3 linked regions of the Bombyx mori genome follow. The main gene of each other region encodes a partner of the protein of the gene in region 3 in a complex. Links are inferred from orthologs where the notes say so. Each region holds a gene or a part of one and is shown on either strand. Other genes may lie near its edges.

Region 1 (7,226 bases), on a different chromosome or scaffold from region 3:
CGACTGCAACACTTTGACTCTGTGCTCCGGAGCCACTGCGTTGTCTATGGCCGTTGTTAGATCTATGACGTTTATATTCGGTTTCGTCGGAGACAGTTTACTGATTGTTTCAAACTGAAAATTCAATTTACACAATTAATGTCACTGACTGGTGGTTTACTAGTGGTAGGACCTCTTGTGAGTCCGCACGGGTAGGTACCACCACCCTGCCTATTTCGACCGTGAAGCAGTAATGCGTTTCGGTTTGAAGGGTGGGGCAGCCGTTGTAACTATACTGAGACCTTAGAACTCATATCTCAAGGTAGATGGCGGCGTTTACATTGTAGATGTCTATAGGCTCCGGTAACCACTTAACACCAGGTGGGCTGTGAGCTCGTCTACCCATCGAGTTTGTATCAACAAGTTATCCCTGATTGAGGCCGTAGGCCAAGTCATCCTCGTGTTGTTAAAATAATCCTTTGCACTTCCAACAATTAAGTACAGGAAAAAATATACAATAAAGTTCGAACTTACCAAAACATTCCTAAAAGTTTGCTCATCAACGGTATAGTAACATAGCTTCTCTAAAGCGTCAATGACTTTTTCGTTTTCAATCAAACTTCTGATATGGGCATTCCAGTCGCTCACAAAGGCTCGGTCCATCGTAGACAAACATTGCTCGTCGAGTTTCCCTTTTAATATATGTTCTGGTATTGCAAAGACTGTGGATGTGCAGGCCGTTTCATCAGTTTTGGCTGAAAAAATGTTACTAAATTAATTTATTTATCGATACATCAATCATTGGACATCCACTGCTGGATATAGACCTCCTTTAAGGATATTTACATTGCTACAGAATAATTTAAAATATTAAGGAAATCGTATTCTATAAAACAAAAGTGACTAGACCTGTGAAATTTGTTTGTCTCATTCATAAATTCATTCGCTCGTTCATTAATTTTACAGTCGTCGTGGCCTAAAGGATAAGACGTCCGGTGCATTCGTATCGAGCGATGCACCGGTGTTCGAATCCCGCAGGCGGGTACCAATTTTTCTAATGAAATACGTACTCAACAAATGTTCTCGATCGACTTCCACGGTGAAGAGTGAAGGAATAACATCGTGCAATAAAAATTAAAGCCGCAAAATTATAATTTGCGTAATTACTGGTGGTAGGACTCCTTGTGGGTCCGCGCGAGTAGGTAGCACCGCCCTGCCTATTTCTGCCGTGAAGCAGTAATGCGTTTCGGTTTGAAGGGCGGAGCAGCTGTTGTAACTAAACTTGAGACCTTAGAACTTATATCTCAAGGTGGGTGGCGCATTTACATCGTAGATGTATATGGGCTCCAATAACCACTTAACACCAGGAGGGCTCTGAGCTCGTCCACCCAAATAAACAATAAAAAAATAAAAAGTCATTATTAATCATTATTATTATTATTAATTAATTCATCTTTCCTTCTATACAGAAAAAAAAAAACTAGGTATCTAATAACAATGTGTAAGCAAAACTTATTATCTACTTTACAAATATTAGATTTCCGGCCACTGCTTCTCCGGCGACAAAGCATGAGGCGGCATGTGCGGACACGCATTCAATGCAGTGGGATGAAATATAATCTAGTATAGAATATCACGTAAGCAATTATATTAGCTCACCGATGGACTTCCTTGATTTTCTTTTCTTCCTCGGCGACACAGAACCCTCCAGGGGCAGACTCAGCAATTCCACAAACAATCTCTTTCTCCCTTCCAGAGGCGAGATAATATCATACCGGTCATCATCATTGACTTCATTAGGAAATATGAATATGTGACGATGGGAAAAACGGGATTTGACCCTTTTTTCAAACAACTCCATAATGTCTAAGCGATTTGTTACACCTGTGCACAGTAAGGAAGCATGATATTTAATGAAATGAAGATTTAACATCTTCGAGCAAGGATTTCTCCTGTGTTAATGGTAATGGAAAGACACATAGAAACAAGTAGGCATCAAATACCAAATATATTTAAGACTAGCTAGGCATTATTATTATTTCTCACCCCCAGAAAGATTCTCGTCATTAACGCCCCCGCAACTGGTGTAGGAAGTTTTTTTTATTTTTTTTATTTATTGCTTAGATGGGTGGACGAGCTCACAGCCACCTGGTGTTAAGTGGTTACTGGAGCCCATAGACGTCTATAACGTAAATGCGCCACCCACCTTGAGATAAGTTCTAAGGTCTCAGTATAGTTACAACGGCTGCCCCACCCTTCAAACCGAAACGCATTACTGCTTCACGGCAGAAATAGGCAGGGTGGTGGTACCTACCCGTGCGGACTCACAAGAGGTCCTACCACCAGTAAGTCCAACACTCATATAAATATTAGCCTATCCATTAAGTACATGTATTTTCTACATGGATACCAATTTTCATGTCAATCGAACGCATGGTTCAGTAGTTATAATGGAACATCCGTAAAAACCACTGTAGATTTATATATTAGTATAGATGTGTGATAGTATGAAGTGAAGATACATTATTAATTTTAAAACGTGACAAGCAGATTAAGTCGCATTTTAATGCCTATGATGGATAACCTACACAACATGTATTAAAGGATAAGCAAGGACTGTAGCAATGTTAATGCCATCACCACAGTGATGCCAAAGGCCAGTCTCAATCGTATATTATAACATATTCTGAGAAAAACAACAAAAACAATCTCAGCGAACTTACCGATAACACACATAGGAGCCGTCTGTGAATGAGTTACGTCAAATAAGTTATACAGTAATGTCTGGGAGATACCGCTGTGGCAAAACATGTCACACTGGTCTAGAATGAATACCATGCTTCGACATCGTCTGTCAACACCAGTCTGGATGCAGCTTAACAAAAACGAGAGGTTCTCGGCAAAGGTACCGAAAACTCGTTCACCCACAGTATTTTCTAATTGCATCTGTAAAGAATAGTGTAGGTGAGTCCATCTTAGTTGGTGAGGCTTCAATTTAATTCAGATTAGTTAAGCCTGCCTTTAATTATACTGTGGTTAAGACACCAGTAGTCAAGCTTCAAAAGTGGCCAAGGTTTTGCCATTGTGTTGTCCCCCTACCAAGACCTTGGCTACAGATTTTTTTCTCATATCCAATGCATTAGTGAAGAGTCAACCACCATGTTTATCATATTATTACAGTCTAGTCCAGTGTTTCCCAACCTTTTTTGTGCCATGCCCCACTGTAACATTTTTAAATTTTTTATGCCCCCCATACATAATTTTAGCATAATAAAATAATTTCAATACAATTTTCTTTATTGATTTAATGCAATTGCCCTTCTTAATTATCAAATTGCCAACTTGTAGGCTATGGGCACCACGTTGGGAAACACTGGTCTAGTCTATTACACACAATGGTCTTTAGTTAAGTACAATTCACTATCCTATTCAGAACAAAATATAATAGAAAAACCTTTCCTGCTATACAGGAATACAATTGAACAAACATTAATAGAATTCTTTTTGACATTTTTATTAGATTCATAAAAAGGCCTCAATCACCTGCGCTGTGATAGCTTTAAGGGCCAGTTTATCATCACTATGTACAAGGCCATTCAGTTGAATTATAATAGCATCATTCTCCAAATCTGTCTCTCTAGAGAGCTGGTGAAGTACCGAGTTTAGTAGCTGAAATGAAATGTTTTACCATTATTGAAAGGTCACAACAGATAACATTTTCTGTACAGAGGCCCTTGCTTCACCTTATATTAAATTGTAACTAGAAAGTGAGAGAGAGAGAATATACTTTATATGCACACCAAAACACAATTAACAATAGAAAACAGTCAACAAGCAGATCCATTTGTACAAATCTTATCATCTCATCATCAAGAGATCTCTTCCAGACAGCCACTTAACTATACAGAAATTCTGGAAAAGATAAAGATATAGCAGGTATGTTGCTATGTACTACTAGCAATACATTATTAAAGAAAATATAAAGAAAATAATAAAAGTGATGGGATCTGAACAAAAATATCATTCATGGGTCAGGTAGAATTCAGAATTGTATTGTTTGACAATCATCCTAGCTTCCACGCTGGAATGCACTGCTACTTCATAAAAAATAGGCAGAATCCAACATACCTACCCAAATAGACTGACAGTAAACCATACCACTCTTAAATCTTGCTGCATTATATATACCTATCTATCACATATGTATCTGTCACATGAAGAGCTGAGAGCGGCCACAATCACCTATATTGTGCTAAGCTGGTGGACATAAAACAATTTAAAAATATTGTAAATTAAATCCGCGAATTGTATATTGAAGCACAAGAACTTACAGTGGTTTTTCCACTACTTCTCGGCCCTATAAGTAAAGCCGAATGCGATTCTCCTTGTAAGACAGTTCTTCTTAATAATTCGTACACATGATTTCTTTCCTGGTCGTGCCCCCGAAACAATACATTGTCTTCTATTAATTTCAATTTTATGTACTTCCTTACAAGTTTTATTTGAATAGCCAACGGGTCTGTATCCATTGATCCACGCATTTTCTCAGACAATGTTATTTATGATTATTTTGTGAAGTGTTTTAGCTTTATACATCGAAGCATAAAATTATTTAATAAATATTTAAAATGAGTTCAAAAAGAAATTTTCGCGGCATAAAATGTCATCCCAAGAAACATCAAACAGCATGACAGTTGACACTGTCAATTAGAGATGTCCTTCAATAATCACCATAGATTATACACTTAATATATTTGAGATTACTGATTGTTCACCATAGTCTACTAAGTATTACGGAGGTAAAGATATTTCTACCCTCCATACTAAGTATGTCAACTACACATTTTGAGATTAAATCGTATTCACCCGTTTTGTCTACTTTGCTCCTAGTTTATAAATGTGCATAAAGCTGAGTTTACAAGTAAATATGGCTTTTATGATGTATCGAAAAGAAACTTTGAAAATAAATTGGCATGTTTCGTTCTGTTTAAATAAAATAGATAATAGCGTCAATTTTAAGTCTTGTACGTTGCAAGTACTCAGTGACTCTTTTAAATGAAAGAAAAGTGTTTGTAACTCAGGAGTATGCACGTTAATTTTTAAAGTAGATGATACTTCTTAAAATGTCTATGGCATGAAAGTAAAAGAGCGCATGCTCGTGAAATCTAATCAATAGACTAAATGAAACATATGATAACAAGAAAATCGAGATATAGCTCCGAATTTCTTCTAACAAATAGTTACATTTTTAGTTCACACCCTTAAGAATTAAAAACTTATAACGTGAAATATTTATTGAACTTAAGTATTTAAGCACTTTATAGTAGTTACAAGTATTCTTCATATGAATATAGGAGAACGTGTGAACTTGAACCGATCAAAGAAATATTTGTATTCATATCCCTGGATTTAATTCTCGTGTACATTGCCTAAAACTTCGTATTGTCCCGTTCTCGCATTTTGACGATTTCTAAAAATAAATCTTTAGTCCTCGTCATGACCTTAAATTCCACGGTTTTTGTGTACCCGTTCATATTATTGAAAATTGGGACAATCTGGAAATTAATTCAATTTGTTTCTTAAGAAGTTGATCGTAAAAAATTATACTTAAAAAGTGAACAAACCAAAGTTTTTCAAAATTTTATTTCGTATTCGTTCGTTTATTAACTATAAAAATTGCACCGTGGATTGTAGCTGAACACCCAACCATTTATGGAAAAAAGTGAAAATATTTTCGAAAAACAATGTGAATATCAGAATTATAGATGCAGCGTCGTGCGTTTTCCGAAATGAGAGTTTTTAATTAGTGCAGCAGGTTTCAACCACTTAAATTCATTTAGCAAATTCGCACAAGACACGAGCCCTAAATAATCACAATGTAATTTGTATTATAAATTATTATGTTATAGTGCAGCAGCAATTTGGCACAGCTTTGAATTTTATAAAAAAAGAAGTACCTAAATAGAGGAAGTCAATATTGCTTTAAGCTTAAAAATTGTAAGTTATAGTATTTAAGCTTAACGCCAGAATCATTAATATGATTACATTTTCATCATAGCACCAAAATATGCACAAAGTTTACCTTCAGACATGAATTCTCATACCCGCATTCATTCAAGGCCACTATTCAAAGTCAATGCCGCAATTTCACAGCAAACCGGTGTTTAGTGAATCGATACGTTACTCTTTTAGCTTAATATAAATTGATGTCTCACTCAGATCAGTAAGTGAAATAGTATTATATTATTAGGAAATTTAGCTATTGGACAACACTATCGATCCAAACTTAGAAAATATTTTGAAGATGGTTTGAGGCACGCAATGAACAGATTATTTGTGTATCTACCTGTTCAGAGATAGTTTTTTGATTTAACTGACAATATCTTTTTCTTTGTCTTTCTTGATGTTTATTCATAGATGATCCAACAGACACAAAATAAGTGTCATTTGTATAGATTTTATTCACAAAGAACTTGAGTTTAGAGAGCCTTATCACGATGGTCTTTTAAAAATAGTTTTACAAAAGTGTTTGTTGATCGATTGTATTAGACTAAAAGATTTGAAACTTAGAGACACAGATCACTGCTTTGTCGTGTGTGCCGATTTTCAAGCTCCTGTACTAATTAATTATTCAGCCAGGATATTTTCAGTTTTCTATTTCAAAGTAAGTATAGCAGATAGGTGGCGTATTATTTCAATTTTCATTATGTTGTAAGATTACAACACCGTTGTTAAGCATAGCATTGGCAGGTCTGAATTGTTTACAACAGTTTGTTTTCAAAATAAACTTGTTTGGGACCACAAACATTGATAACAAACAGCCATAAGATACAATGTAAAACAAAATAATATTAAATTATAAAAGTTTATGTTGCAGTCGAGACTATGTTATGTGCAGATTAATTAAAATTATGAATCATCCACAAGCCAATAACGCATTGTTCCATTTAATTTACAGGCAAGTATGTAGGCTAGAATATTAACTTTTATATTTTGTAAGTCCTGTTTTATGCATTGTATTATGACTGTTTGTTTTCCATGCATAAAAGTCCACACACAACATTCTTACTATTGTGATACATATGAGACTAATAAATAAAACTAACAATTTATGGATTCACTACACAGGTCCATTGTGTTATTGAGAGAGGAGGTTGAGAATGACACTGGATTTGTGACCCTAGCGTAAATTTAAGGAGCCCCTATCTATGTTCATTATACTTATCTTCATTCTCCCCATTCTCTCC
Region 2 (6,727 bases), on a different chromosome or scaffold from region 3:
GGTGACCGGTCGGACCCATCGAGCTATAGGCCTATCGCGATAACTTCCTTGCTTTCCAAGGTGATGGAGCGAATAATAAACACACAACTCCTGAAGTATCTTGAAGATCGCCAGCTGATCAGTGACCGACAGTACGGTTTCCGTCACGGTCGTTCAGCTGGCGATCTTCTTGTATACCTTACTCACAGGTGGGCTGAAGCCTTGGAGAGCAAGGGCGAGGCTCTTGCTGTGAGCCTTGATATCGCGAAGGCCTTCGACAGGGTCTGGCATAAGGCGCTTCTGTCGAAGCTTCCATCTTACGGAATCCCCGAGGGTCTCTGCAAGTGGATCGCTAGCTTTCTGGATGGGCGGAGCATCACGGTCGTTGTGGACGGTGATTGTTCTGATACCATGACCATTAATGCTGGCGTTCCACAAGGTTCGGTGCTCTCCCCCACGCTTTTCATCCTGTATATCAATGACATGCTGTCTATTGATGGCATGCATTGCTATGCGGATGACAGCACGGGGGATGCGCGATATATCGGCCATCAGAGTCTTTCTCGGAGCGTGGTGCAAGAGAGACGATCAAAACTTGTGTCTGAAGTGGAGAACTCTCTGGGGCGAGTCTCCGAGTGGGGTGAATCGAACTTAGTTCAATTCAACCCGTTGAAGACACAAGTTTGCGCGTTCACTGCGAAGAAGGACCCCTTTGTCATGGCGCCGCAATTCCAAGGAGTATCCCTGCAACCTTCCGCGAGCATCGGGATACTTGGGGTCGACATTTCGAGTGATGTCCAATTTCGGAGTCATTTGGAAGGCAAAGCCAAGTTGGCGTCCAAAATGCTGGGAGTCCTCAACAGAGCGAAGCGGTATTTCACGCCTGGACAAAGACTTTTGCTTTATAAAGCACAAGTCCGGCCTCGCGTGGAGTACTGTTCCCATCTCTGGGCCGGGGCTCCCAAATACCAGCTTCTTCCATTTGACTCCATACAGAGGAGGGCCGTTCGAATCGTCGATAATCCCATTCTCGCGGATCGTTTGGAACCTTTGGGTCTGCGGAGGGACTTCGGTTCCCTCTGTAGTTTGTACCGAATGTTCCATGGGGAGTGCTCTGAGGAATTGTTCGAGATGATACCGGCATCTCGTTTTTACCATCGCACCGCCCGCCACCGGAGTAGAGTTCATCCATACTACCTGGAGCCACTGCGGTCATCGACAGTGCGTTTCCAGAGGTCTTTTCTGCCACGTACCATCCGGCTATGGAATGAGCTCCCCTCCACGGTGTTTCCCGAGCGCTATGACATGTCCTTCTTTAAAAGAGGCTTGTGGAGAGTATTAAGCGATAGGCAGCGGCTTGGCTCTGCCCCTGGCATTGCTGAAGTCCATGGGCGACGGTAACCACTCACCATCAGGTGGGCCGTATGCTCGTCTGCCTACAAGGGCAATAAAAAAAAAAAAAAAAAAAATTCTCAAACCTCCAACAAACTTTCACGACCAGATGAATAATACCAGGGACACATGCGACACATCTACCACCCAACCCCAAGCTGGGATTCTTTTTTTGAGGGATTACTGGTGGCCCGGAGGCCTTTCCAGTTTCACCAGGACAGGTGGGCGAGCACGCGCTCAGCCAAGAGGGGTGGGATTTACTAACAGCTACCCGAGCGCCTCCAAAGGAGACCTAACCACTCGACAGTAGCTGCTTCGTGAATGAATTTTTGTATTTTTAAGTTATTTAAATTTTTTTGTGGGTAATTTCTTTCTGAATTCCTTAGCTTTTTTTGAAAAATATGTAAAATTAAGCTCAGCACCAAAGTGATTATTAATAATGATTGAGGCGCCGAGTGATCGGAAACTATAAATAATTGGAGACGTGGTTAATAAGAAATACAAAAACCGCGTGATAAATCGGTAAAAAGAGTTCTAATTAAGTCTTGGCTCGCGTAGTCCAACAGATGTGTGTTGCATTACACATATTTGTTTTAATAAATTTTTTGGACTGAAGGTTGCAGATGGGAGACGAGATGTCTAAACGCAAGAAATTTATGTTCATGACGTGGGTAGGACCGAACGTGTCTGTGATCAACCGAGCCAAGATGTCCACCGACAAAGCTATCATCAAGGACATCATATCGGTTCGTATAAGCCCATTTTATTTTTGGATAAGTTCTTCCCCCGCGTGCTTACAGCTTCTTTTTGTTCAATCCTAAACATCTCCCTAAATTAATCACGAAATTGAAAAAAAAATTATCAAAAAAATTGTTCCGAATTGCAGGATGTGCCAGCTATTTTAATAATACGGATTGGACTTTGACCTCATTTTTCAAATTGGTTGGAACCATGGACCATGAGCTCATTTACCCATATAAGTACTAAAAATCAAATTGTTTCAGAAAAATGTTTATTAGAGAAATATGTATCGCAACTTGACAGCAATACATCAAATAAAATCATACAAATATTTTCTAATGTTAAAACCGACAGTCTGAGCAATGGCTGAAATGAAATCATAGCCAACAATACATTTATATTTTGCTGTATCTAAATCTATCTCTTTGCTTCCCGCTATCAATTTTAGCTCAACTAATGTCGCTATTTGTGCCAACAGATTGCTGGTTAAACCGATCTTATCTTCTAAGATAGCATAGAATATTGCCAACAATCGATCTAAAGTAAAAACTTTAGGACCGAGCTGTGTACTTAATTTTTCATTAATTTTAGCCTTTGCTTTGATTTGTCTCATTTGTTTACGTTGTTTCCCGTGGTTCTTCATAAACAATCTCTTGTCTTCTTTGGGCGGATTGTAGCTAGCCAAATATGCTGCAATTAGTAAGTATTTCGCAAAGTATGGTAGTTCGAAGCTTTGTGCAAATGTTTTTGTAGAAGAAAGTTCATCTTTTAACGTTTTCTCCAGACAGAATTCTTTGGCATATAAGCTTTCACTGTTTTCTTTACCCGGTGAAGGTTTGAATTGCCTCATATCACTAATTCTTAAGTATAAAAGTTCTAGGCTTGTTTTCAAGATTGGTGAGATGTGTCTCCACAATTTAGTTAGATCATTTGATTGTATTTCACCTTTTATGATTGGTTCACAGTATTTGATGAAGTTTAGGCGTGCCATATGCTTTAATTCAATAAGGTCTCGACATGGCCTATAGAATACACTCAAGAATGCATTCAAGAAGTTTGCAAATAACTCTGGTTTTTCAATTAGTTCTGTTGTTTCATCTTCTATGTCAAAATGGTTCAGCAAATGCTGTACAAATGATTTTTGGTAGAGAAATATTATCCTGAATAACTCTTCTTTGTTATAGTTAGGGAAGTAGAGTTTTATGGGCTCTCGTACACCGAATTTGAAATTAAAATTTTCGAATATCAAATGCGTCACCAATATCGTGCAGATGTTCAATTTACAAAATTCTCTAAGCTTTAGTAGCACTGGCAAGAGGTTCTGATCCATGTTGCGTAGTCTCTCGACTCTATCGAATACAATTACTATTGGTTCATAATTATTTTGAAGCCGGTTCAAACAGTTTATAAAATCCATGAAATTTTCACATTTCACGTCCTCGTCTTCATCGTTGAGGGCAGACAATATGTTCTCGAACATTATCTTTGACGAATAACACTCGATACAGTCGACAAATACATGTTTATAACTTAAATAATTGAGAACAGTTTGTAAGCATAACGTTTTGCCGGTTGCCATACTTCCACTTATAAAAATAGAACACGGCAATGGTTCGTTGTCATCTCCGAATAAATTGAACAAATCGTTTAACTGATTCTCTCTGCACACAACTTTACTGTATATTTCATCCATTTTAATATAATTTATTTTATTTACGTAAGCTTTTGTGTTAATTCAATTCTATAACGTATGTTCAGGTTTGACATTTTTGCGCACATTCCAATTTTGACAACTTTGAACTTTGTAAATTTCATTTGATAGTCTGTGCTTCAAATAAAGTGCCGGCTTAGTACGACGAATATTGAGAATCAAAAAAGATACCTACTTTAATTCGTTTTATTCGTAATTCATTTGGATTTAAAATTAATTATTAGAACCTTGTTTTATTAATATTTTATTATTATCAGACAGATATTGACAGACACAAATATATAAAAAAATAATTTGAAATTAGGAAGGTCTAGTTTCACTCACCTTTCAATTTCAATGCTAGTTCTCAATTAACTAGTTTTTATTATGTTTCAGAACTTTGCTGTGGAGTTGCAACTTGAAAATCAGTCTGAGATAGACATCGACCAATTCAAGGATGCACTCAATAGGGCAGGGGGAGCGAACTACGGCACTGGCGTTAGAGATTTATGAATAGAAAATGTTTGCCCCGCACTTGCCACATGGAATTTTAAACGAATATTGTCTCTTTCATTCTATTATATAAATAATGAGTGCAAAGATACAATATTATACATAAAAATATTTTACAAGTGGATTTTAGGACTTATATTTTAATTGGGGCCGTGGCTTGGCCATTTTTGTAGTCGAGCAATAATTCATTAGTCATTTTTATTATCTTGTGTCAAATTGATCACATTTTTAATCACGTATAGAAATTCATTATTTATTTTTCAAAAATACACATGTTATATAATATTCTTCAGTGTAGTTTTAATAAGGATTTACCAAATAAAAAGTAGATAATCTGTCGTGCATTTTAGTAAGCGCGGTGAACGCATTTATTTTTTACTTAAAATTTTTAAAAATCTTTAATACTAAATTGAATTTAATGTAAACAAGCTTTTTATACATTGACTAGTAATGTAAATTGATATCAATAAAACCATGATTTCCAATATATTTTTTGTTTCATTCCGGTGTGTCAGAAACTTTGAGTGTCGGCGTTTTCGTTTGCTTGCGATGTTTTTCAAATTATTGAAGACTAACGGAATGTTACTTTGGTAATAAATATTTCTACCAGAAGAGGAATCTGTTAAATACCCATCCATTTTCGTAGATTCAACTCATGTTCGCAAAGTCAGTATTTTCAACGACCATCATCATTTCACTAGGAAGTTTATAAGATATTTGAGGCGGTCAGCGCAAAAGTGCCTTAACCCACAATTCATATTCGTCTTTATGTATTGCAATTTATTTAATACATAATAAATTTTGATGCAAAATCGCCCAAGTTTCACACAGATAACAGATGCCTTTGTAAACATTATTTTTGGACGTATTTTTTGGCTGGCGAAGTATTGTAAAGATAAATTCAAATCTCAATATCTCCATAATAACTATGGTAAGCTTAGACCACTTTTGCGCTGACGGACCTCATTTATACTATACATTAACAGTAAGATATTTGCCGATGATAAGTACCTCTCAGCGGATCTACGCGTATCCTAGGTCATATCATACGGAATAAAACAACAATGGCTACCCAAATATTAAGTTTTTTATTTTGCAAAAAAAAAAGAATAAAATGTTAGAATAGTGATCGGTAATACCACATAGTTCCTTAATAAAAATATAAGGTGACACTGCGACTTGGTTCTGATGGAACACATTTATTTACTTATTACTAAAAAAAAAAATCTGCCTTTTAATTTGGCTACTAAATATATTCATGGTCTTTAATTGAAAAACAACAGATTTTTTATTTAATTCATCACATTAAGGCAATGAATCAGCAAGTGAATTATTTTTCAGATTTGAACAACAAATGAGTCGTCTATTATCAAAGGTGGCAATCTGTGCATTTGAACAAGAAAATGTTATTGATATGTCAATACAGATTGATTTGAATATAATCGTCTCCTTCAAAGAATACGGTTCAAAACCTGCATTAAATAAAGGTTAATACTTAACCTGTTATTTATCTAAGATCTCGTTCAGAAGAGTTTTGTGGCTGCCAATGGAATACAAAGTCAATAATTCGTTTTTCTGATTTACCAATAATTGTCCAAAAGTCACATTGCCGGCTTTGATAATAGTCGACTCAAATAGTTGAAGGATACACAAAACCCTGTATTCTAGATAAGCATTAAAATACTTCCCACGCTATTTTCACTTACAAATACATTAATATAGTACAACATTACATTTTGTATAAGTTGAACGAGATGGTAACAATTTTACAAACAACAGTTTTATTGTACATTAATTAAATTACTTAATATTGCTTATTCGTTTTATTTTAAGGCGCTTTTTCAATGCGGATCAAATGCATACAAAAATTATTAATGTTAAAATATTATCACCCCACATCGCTCATTTTGGAAGGTCGTTTAGAACAAAATTATGTTTGTACCTAAATAAATATAATGGATAATAATTATAAAAAAATAATAAAAAAAATCTGATTTTTGTTTAGTACTCTCTATTTTCTTAAGAAGCTCGTTGGTTCGCGTTGCTGGCAGCGACACTTCGCTACAGACCTTTTTTTTTTTATATTTACAGTAATTCCCCCTATTACACGGTAGATTGGTTCCGCGTTATAGGAAACGCGTTGTAGTATTCACAAAAAACGCTTTTGTATGACCCCATATAACGCGTTATATACAAAAAATATATATGTACATATATAATACAATAATGCCAATGTTTTTACAATTCAAAAACTAGGAACAAAAATTGAATAAATTAATTTAATTTATTTTTATAACAACACAATTGACACAATGTGCAAAGGTACGCCAAATTCATTATGAACTGTACAGATATTAAATTTCACAGTACAGAAATATAACGTTACAAATCCCAGCGTTATATGGGGGAATG
Region 3 (7,256 bases):
CTGATTCATATAAACCGCAGACGAATGTGAATGAAAAACTTTTATTAAAAGTTTCGATGACACCTCATATGGGAAAGACTTGTGCAATGCCGAAACAGATGTTGCCACCCCAAAAACAAGCACTATGGGCAAGGAAGATATGTACGAACTGAAATAAATTGAGTAACTATTTTATATTATACTATATTAGACATTCATTTAAAACTATATTTATTACCAGTAGAAATTGTAATACTTTTTTTGACATATTTCTACTATTGTAATTATATATTTTTCTTATTTTACAGCAGATAGCTTACTAATCTTACTATATTTCTTATGAAATTAAGTGACTGACGCCACTATACATGCGATCGAACTCTTAATTTAATTGTATCTATAACTATTACTATACTATACTACTATCATAATAATCTACTACTGTGAGTAATGATGTAGATTTAAATATTGATTTCAATTTTTAGTTTCCATTACATGAATTTGATATATATGAAGTTAGTAAAAATACTTTTACCTTATTATCATTACAAAATCTTGTAACAAGTGACAATTAAAGCTTTCAAAATCAGGTATTACTATTACTAATGTCTTTGTCGAAATTGATTTTTTCTTCTTATTAGTAGATTCATTTGTATATTTTGAATGGTACCACGTTTTCAGGGTTTTCATTGTACATTGACTCTTTTTTAATTTATGTTTTGTTGATAATACATCGCATTCTTCGTCATTTTTCTGCAAACAGAAACAAATAACAGTAAACATTACATTATAACAAGGGTGAGCAACGTTTTTAATCAATGGTCCAATTCAAATTTTAATTTTTTTTGGCGGGTCGCAGTTACTTTGACTCTTATTAATAATTTACGAAACTTTATTTGTAATAAACATTAGAATAGAAAATTATAAAACTAAAAAAAATGTAAAGATTTCATATACAAATTTTAATACAAAACAAATACAATGAAGAAAAGAGGCAAACACGCGGGATGAGATGCCCTACTTTTTTCCCGCGGTGCACATACTATTTTTTCTCCTACCAGGCCGAAAGTTCGTGGAGTACCGAGCCGGGGTCCAGAGGCGAAGCCCTGGCAGGAGGTAAGGGGGGCGGAGCCCCCTCATACTCATAACAAAACAATTTAACTGTTTTTTAATTTTTAAATAAAGTACTACTAATTGAATAAGAACTGTCTGATGAATTCATCTTTGTTTAATACTTCACTATTATATTTTATTGCCTTTAGTTTACTTCACTTTTACACTAAACACAATATTGCAAATTACCCGAGCACAACAATGACGGAGAATTATAGGTGCGTGAGAGCAGACGTAGACACTAACGCGCATGCGCACTTGTACCCAGGGAGGAAAAGTTACTATTTCTTCCATGTACAGCGGGAAGAAAACCGAACTTTCGGCATAGGTAGGAGAAAAATTAAATTATTCAGTTTCTTTTTTTATTGCTTTTGTCGCCGTCGCCGCGTCGCTCGCGAACTTTAGCAATGTCAAAGGCACAACTACTGCCGAGTCCTTTCCTTAAACTTCACTCGAAGAAGAGCATGTCATAGTAATCAGGAATTATTGTGTAGACAATTTCATTCCAAAGCTGTACGGTAAGTGCCGAAAAATATCATTGGAAACGCACTAGGGATAAACGCAGTGATTCTAGATAATATAGGAGAGCTCTGCTCCAGTCACGGCAGTATGATGGCATAAAGATGACCAGATCATCTCAAACTTGTAGGGAGTGGCTGCCTCTAGCAAACTCTGTCCTGGCAGTGCTGATGTCTATGAATGACGGTAATCACTCACCAGCTGTATGCTTTTGCGCCTACAGGCGATAAAAACAAAAAATCCTCAGAGCACTCCCTATGAATCATACGATAAACAGAGAGCTAAAGAGCTTTCATAGATCCTGATGATTCAAACCATTTATAAAAACAAATGACCTTATGTAATGAGTCAAATGAAAGTAGCTGCTATGTAATTCATGTGAGATGAACATGGGATTTATATGACATAGGTCTGTATGCAGGTGTGCTTCTTGGTTCTATTCAGAACTACCAACATTTTAAATGTCAACTTGGCAGTATCTCGATCCAGTACTTTGATACCAAGCACTGTGATGAAAGAGTTGTCTCTCTGTTGTTAGCCTGTAAGCCACTTACATATCTCATAGAAGTCACAATACAACTAGTAAAATATATTGGTGTTACAAAAACATTTCTAAATAGATTGACATCACTTACTAAATCATTCCCAATCAACTGCCAAACCATGTTCTCAACTATATGTTTTAATGATAACGAATCTTGTGAATTAACTATTGCCACATGAGGACTTATTTCATCTCTGTAAGAATTTTTAAAGTTAATAAACAGTCCCTTGCATTCCGGAATGAACTGATTATGACTACCAGTTTATGAGGTTTATGGTTCGGGATTGAGCAAGTCTTATTTAGGCTATTTCTTTAATTTTTCTTTCAGTCCTAAAATTAAGTAAATGTGTAGTAGACAATGAAACTTTGCTATGCTTAATCTGTAGGCATATGATATTAAAAGCAAATAAATAAACATGGTGTGGTAATAAATGCAATTGTAATTTATCATCAATTTGAATTTTCAAATAACTGTATCCTGAATTTTATTTCATTCATTTTTATCTCCATATTTCATTTTATCATACTATATACTTTTAGTCTTAATATATTACAGCTATTAATATTTGCTCATTTGGCTACATGCAATTATTATAGTTGGCACCACTTACTTTATTATATTTATGAGTGCATCAAATTGTGATACATGATCAGGCTGACTAACCCCAGTTAGTAGTGTTGCGCTAGGAATTATTCCTTCCAACATAAATGCTTCTTCACTTCCATAAAACTGCTTTATATAATTTACTATATCATTCAACAGCACACTGTAAGACCTTTGATTGAGTTCCTTTAAAAGATATACACATACATGTTGAAAAATGTTTTATTCCTTATTCATGTAAGAATAAGCAGCACTTAATATAAAAAAATCAATGCACAAGCCTTATTCAATATTCTGAATTATCCAACTATTGTTGGAATTGAAAGTTAAAATATCCAAGTAATAAAATCACTGGAGCAAAATCAAAACAACTAAGGCCAGGTACACATAGTATAAACAATTACTTATAGAAAGTAACATTTATGGCAACAACAATGGATGAGAAGCTCATTAAGGTGATACTATAAGTTGGGTAGGTTACTATAGGTATAAAGTGACCTGAGTTCAATCTGCTGCTAGGGTTTTGATGGTTTAGATGTATTCAGGACACATTTGAAAATAGTAACTACCACAATTTACTACTACTCCAATTTTTGCTTTACATCAAATTAAAAATCTATGAAAAGGCTACAATAAAAGACACAAAAGAGTTGTATGATTTTTTTTAAATATGGAAATAACAATATTTAGTAGTCTCCTGAATTATAGTTATCTTTAGTAGCTCTTAATTGAAGCTTAAGACATAACTGTATAAGTTTTTACAAGACAAAGTTTTTTTTCATGGCTGTATGACCGAACAGCTTTTCAGTATTTTCTGAATTCAACTTACATTTAATTTAGTTTTAATAGCTTCCCAATTTTTTCTATAAGTAAGATACCAACACTCTTCTTGAAATAATTTACAAAACAATAAATTTGTTTTTTTCTTTGAAAGAGTTTTCGAGTTTTGAAATCCATTTGGAAATAAAAACACTCCCTGTAATTTGAAAAACAATTAAAATTAATTATTCTATCTCTCAAACAGTAATATTTCATTACTTTTAAGCAGTAAATAAAAAAAATACTTTACCTTTGAAACTGACACAGTGGATTCCATTGAATTCCGTTCTTAATTCTATAATAATCTTTCTTCATAGAATATTAAACTGTAGTACAAAACCGAAAAAAACAATGTTTAACCTGGTTTAACCTTTTTTTTTTTAAAAGATTTTATGACCTGGTAACTAAGACCTTTAAGTCATGTCTTATTTTAATTTATAATCTTATTTTATGAAAAATGATAATATGGAGTGAAATGAAATGAAGATGATTGATTTGAGACATTAATCAACTGGGATGAAATTTAATGAGATGATATGGGATGAAATATAATCGCAGTAAAATGGTGGTCATTTACTGAGATTTTTTCAGTGGACTTTTTGGAGGAACCCGAGAAGTTACGTCCAGCAGCTTTGTTTCATTTTCCCACATTTGTGCACTTTCACAGATATTAAACAGTTAATAAACCACCATTATTACACATTTAAACCCGAAGAAACACTAAATAGACAAAATAAAACAAATCACACAACTGCACTCCTCGCGTTCCCGCCAAAAAGTCTGGTTTAACCTTTTTAATTTCAGTCATAGATTAAACATATAATTTATTTGAGATTTCCATAGAGTTACTATTCTAACTGGAGTGCTTACTTCGTTTGACATAAAAACTAAAAATATACTTTATCTCTATGGCTTAAAGTTTATTTTTAAATAGCAAAAGATGTAAGGAAAAACGGTCTGAAAAGAGAATGACTATTAAGTGGTGGTGTCCCTCTCGCACATTTTACAAACAAAAAGCAGTGTTGCTAGCTTAGAGGATTTTCCACAAAATCTCGTAATTTGGACCCCTGTCTTAGTTATCAGTAGTATCAGTAGTAGCTTGGGCTTTTTTTTTATTGCTTAGATAGGTGGACGAGCTCACAGCCCACCTGATGTCAAGTGGCTACCGGAACCCATAGACATCTACAACGTAAATGCGCCACCCACCTCGAGATACAAGTTCTAAGGTCTCAGTACAGCTACAACGGCTACCCCACCCTTCGAACCGAAACGCATTACTGCTTCACGGCGGAAATAGGTGGGGTGGTGGTACCTACCCGTGTGGACTCCCAAGAGGTCCTACCACCAGTAATTACGCAAATTATAATTTTGCGGGTTTAATTTTTATTACACGATGTTATTCCTTCACCGTGGAAGTCAATCGTTAACATTTGTTGAGTGCGTATTTCATTAGAAAAATTGGTACCCGCCTGCGGGATTCGAACACCGGTGCATCGCTTCATACGAATGCACCGGACGTCTTATCCTTTAGGGCGTTGTTGAAAATTATCGAAAAGGTTAAAATCAATCCACTTTACAGGATTTTAAACATTTTATGACAATAATATATCTAAATACATATTATTTAAACGATGTGACTTAAACTTAACTAGAAAATGCTGCGAGAATTTAGAATTTCCATCAACGTCAAAAATTAAATTGGTTCAAAAGAAACGTACAAAGTCATGGTGAAATTAGTTGCTGATGATGACAATTTATTAAAATAAATTATATAAGAAGTATTGATTATATGATATATATTGATTTTTATTAGAACATCATATATTAATAAAGCTCATTAACAAAAAAAATATTGTTCTATATTAATAAGAACTCTGTTTAATGGAAAATTTAATGGTAGGTAAGTAGATTTCTGATGGTTTTCATGGGAAGCCAGATTAATTGTTGGCATCACCGAAAAAGAGCTATGAATGGATTAAAAGAAAAATGGCGTCTATTTACGTTTGTAGTTCGAAGTTAAAAGGGCACTGATACAGCTTGTGGCTTGTTTTTTTCCGAAAATCGTGAAAGTTTCCGTGTAATCATGGCGAACACTTGTATTGTAAGTGGTTTTAAGCGAGAATCCTCTCCAGTTTGTGGAATATCCTTCCATATATCAGATTCATTGATAAATTTTTACTAGTGTGAGTATATATTTTTAAAATGTTAGATATTTTTTCTCATAATAATATTTAATACCATTTGTCTTGTAAATTGTACTTAATCTATGTCATATATTAAATTTGAAAAAACAATCGTGAAAAACTATAATTTTGCAATGTATTTTTCATATTATAAGAGGAATCACGTGGTATTTTTTTGACTTTGTTTATTGTATTGAATAGCGTCGCACGCAAGCATGTATATCATTTGCCTGACGTCAAGCGAACGAGGAGGATCTTCTAGTAAATATGACGTTGGAATTTCTGGAAAATGTCCTATATAAAGGTCAAACAAGAGGAATCAAGTACTCAAACGCAAGAAATAAAAAATGCCCCGAGAAAAGCAAAATTACGACAAGATGTTAAGGTTTTGAAACAAAAACTTAAAAGTCGCGAAATAGTGATTGTAAATATAAAGTCGATTTTAGATTTATTAAAGAAAAATGGCGATTTTTAATTGAATTGAAATTTAAATTGCGAAATTTTAATGATACTCATGGTCCACTTAGATATTGACTAAAATAAATTATTTATTTCGTTGAAAAAAAAAGAATTTACATAAAATAGGGGAAATGTTATATTATTTATTTATTTTATTAGGCTCACAATACACATCACAAGCTAAAGATACATAAAAAACACAAATAAAAAGAAACAATATCTGGCTAATAAGACTACAGAAAATTAACTGAACTTAATAATAATAATATAACCAATATTTTGTAAATAGAGATCAAGTACTATGTGTATTGTGTTATGTGTATTGACTTGTCATTTAAGAGTTATTTAATTGTCTACATATAACAAATAAATTAATTTCAGTTCATTTCATTTTATTACCCATTGTGTTTTATTTATTAAAATGTAACTAGTAGACTTAATATAAACGTAATATAATATAATATAATATAATATAATATAATATAATATATAACTTAATATAAGGTAAATTCAAAACTGATGCATGTGTATAATTTTGTCCTATAAATAAATTTTATATGGTCACCACATTAGACAAGGACACCGCGACCAAAAAGTATTCTCTTTCGAGACCGATTTCTCGGCATTAGACAGCACTCCAGTTGTAGGTACTTATTAACTCCATGGAGATTTCATAGTAGTAAATTTATTTTTCCAAATGGAAAGACAAAGGTATCATACCATACATCCTAATCTTTTCTATATATTTTTTTTGTACAATATGATATTGTGAAATGGAATGAACTTGATTAATATGAAATATGACATGAAATGAAATAAAATGTGATGATATGAGATGGGATATTTTTGTGAAAAATTATAATATGGAGTGAAATGAAATGAAGGTGATTAATTTGAGACTAATCAGCTGGGATGAAATTAAATGAAATGATATGAGATGATATGGGATGAAATATAATCTCAGTAAAATGGTGGTAATTTACTGAGATTTATTCAGTAGACTTTTTGGAGGATTCCGAGAAGTTACGTCCGAGAA

What was found. The genes of interacting proteins can lie anywhere in the genome.
Region 1: the proteins of origin recognition complex subunit 3 (region 3) and origin recognition complex subunit 4 are in contact, whole or in part, in a crystal structure (PDB 4XGC), measured with the Drosophila melanogaster proteins. The link is inferred for Bombyx mori from reciprocal best matches to the Drosophila melanogaster genes Orc3 and Orc4. Residues at the interface, in NP_476904.1 of Drosophila melanogaster: Ala217, His250, Gly251, Leu253, Pro254, Tyr255, His256; in NP_477320.1 of Drosophila melanogaster: Lys395, Glu398, His399, Ile402, Lys419, Lys422.
Region 2: the proteins of origin recognition complex subunit 3 (region 3) and ORC5 are in contact, whole or in part, in a crystal structure (PDB 4XGC), measured with the Drosophila melanogaster proteins. The link is inferred for Bombyx mori from reciprocal best matches to the Drosophila melanogaster genes Orc3 and Orc5. Residues at the interface, in NP_476904.1 of Drosophila melanogaster: Ile105, Gln107, Leu140, Lys141, Val144, Cys183, Thr184, Met185, Lys186, Gln187, Glu213, Cys214, Asp222, Leu225, Ile226, His230, Ala243, Thr244, His250, Tyr255, Ser258, Ser259, Arg262, Leu263, Ala270, Pro272, His302, Ile303, Leu305, Tyr306; in NP_477132.1 of Drosophila melanogaster: Ile72, Glu73, Tyr75, Ile79, Glu82, Asp86, Asp94, Arg130, Tyr291, Met292, Arg293, Ile294, Glu295, Leu319, Glu320, Leu321, Pro322, Tyr323, Tyr324, Ala325, Asp383, Leu386, Ala387, Tyr390, Val397, Leu399, Thr400, Cys401, Asn402, Leu403.

The regions. Positions count from the first base shown.
Region 1 is NC_085108.1:2,849,688-2,856,913, forward strand, and holds the start of origin recognition complex subunit 4, read right to left. Parts: upstream 4,667-7,226; 5' UTR 4,521-4,666; coding exon 4,311-4,520; intron 3,649-4,310; coding exon 3,523-3,648; intron 2,926-3,522; coding exon 2,703-2,925; intron 1,864-2,702; coding exon 1,639-1,863; intron 735-1,638; coding exon 514-734; intron 115-513; coding exon 1-114.
Region 2 is NC_085126.1:11,149,952-11,156,678, forward strand, and holds ORC5 (origin recognition complex subunit 5), read right to left. Parts: upstream 3,878-6,727; 5' UTR 3,806-3,877; coding exon 2,423-3,805; 3' UTR 2,367-2,422; downstream 1-2,366. Other genes in the region: cyclic AMP-regulated protein, read left to right, coding at 1,988-2,117, 4,199-4,315. UniProt on the Drosophila melanogaster protein: Component of the origin recognition complex (ORC) that binds origins of replication. DNA-binding is ATP-dependent, however specific DNA sequences that define origins of replication have not been identified so far.
Region 3 is NC_085128.1:8,981,250-8,988,505, reverse strand, and holds the start of origin recognition complex subunit 3, read right to left. Parts: upstream 4,369-7,256; 5' UTR 3,856-4,368; coding exon 3,829-3,855; intron 3,736-3,828; coding exon 3,589-3,735; intron 2,952-3,588; exon of another isoform or gene 2,946-2,951; coding exon 2,767-2,945; intron 2,350-2,766; coding exon 2,247-2,349; intron 733-2,246; coding exon 515-732; intron 149-514; coding exon 1-148.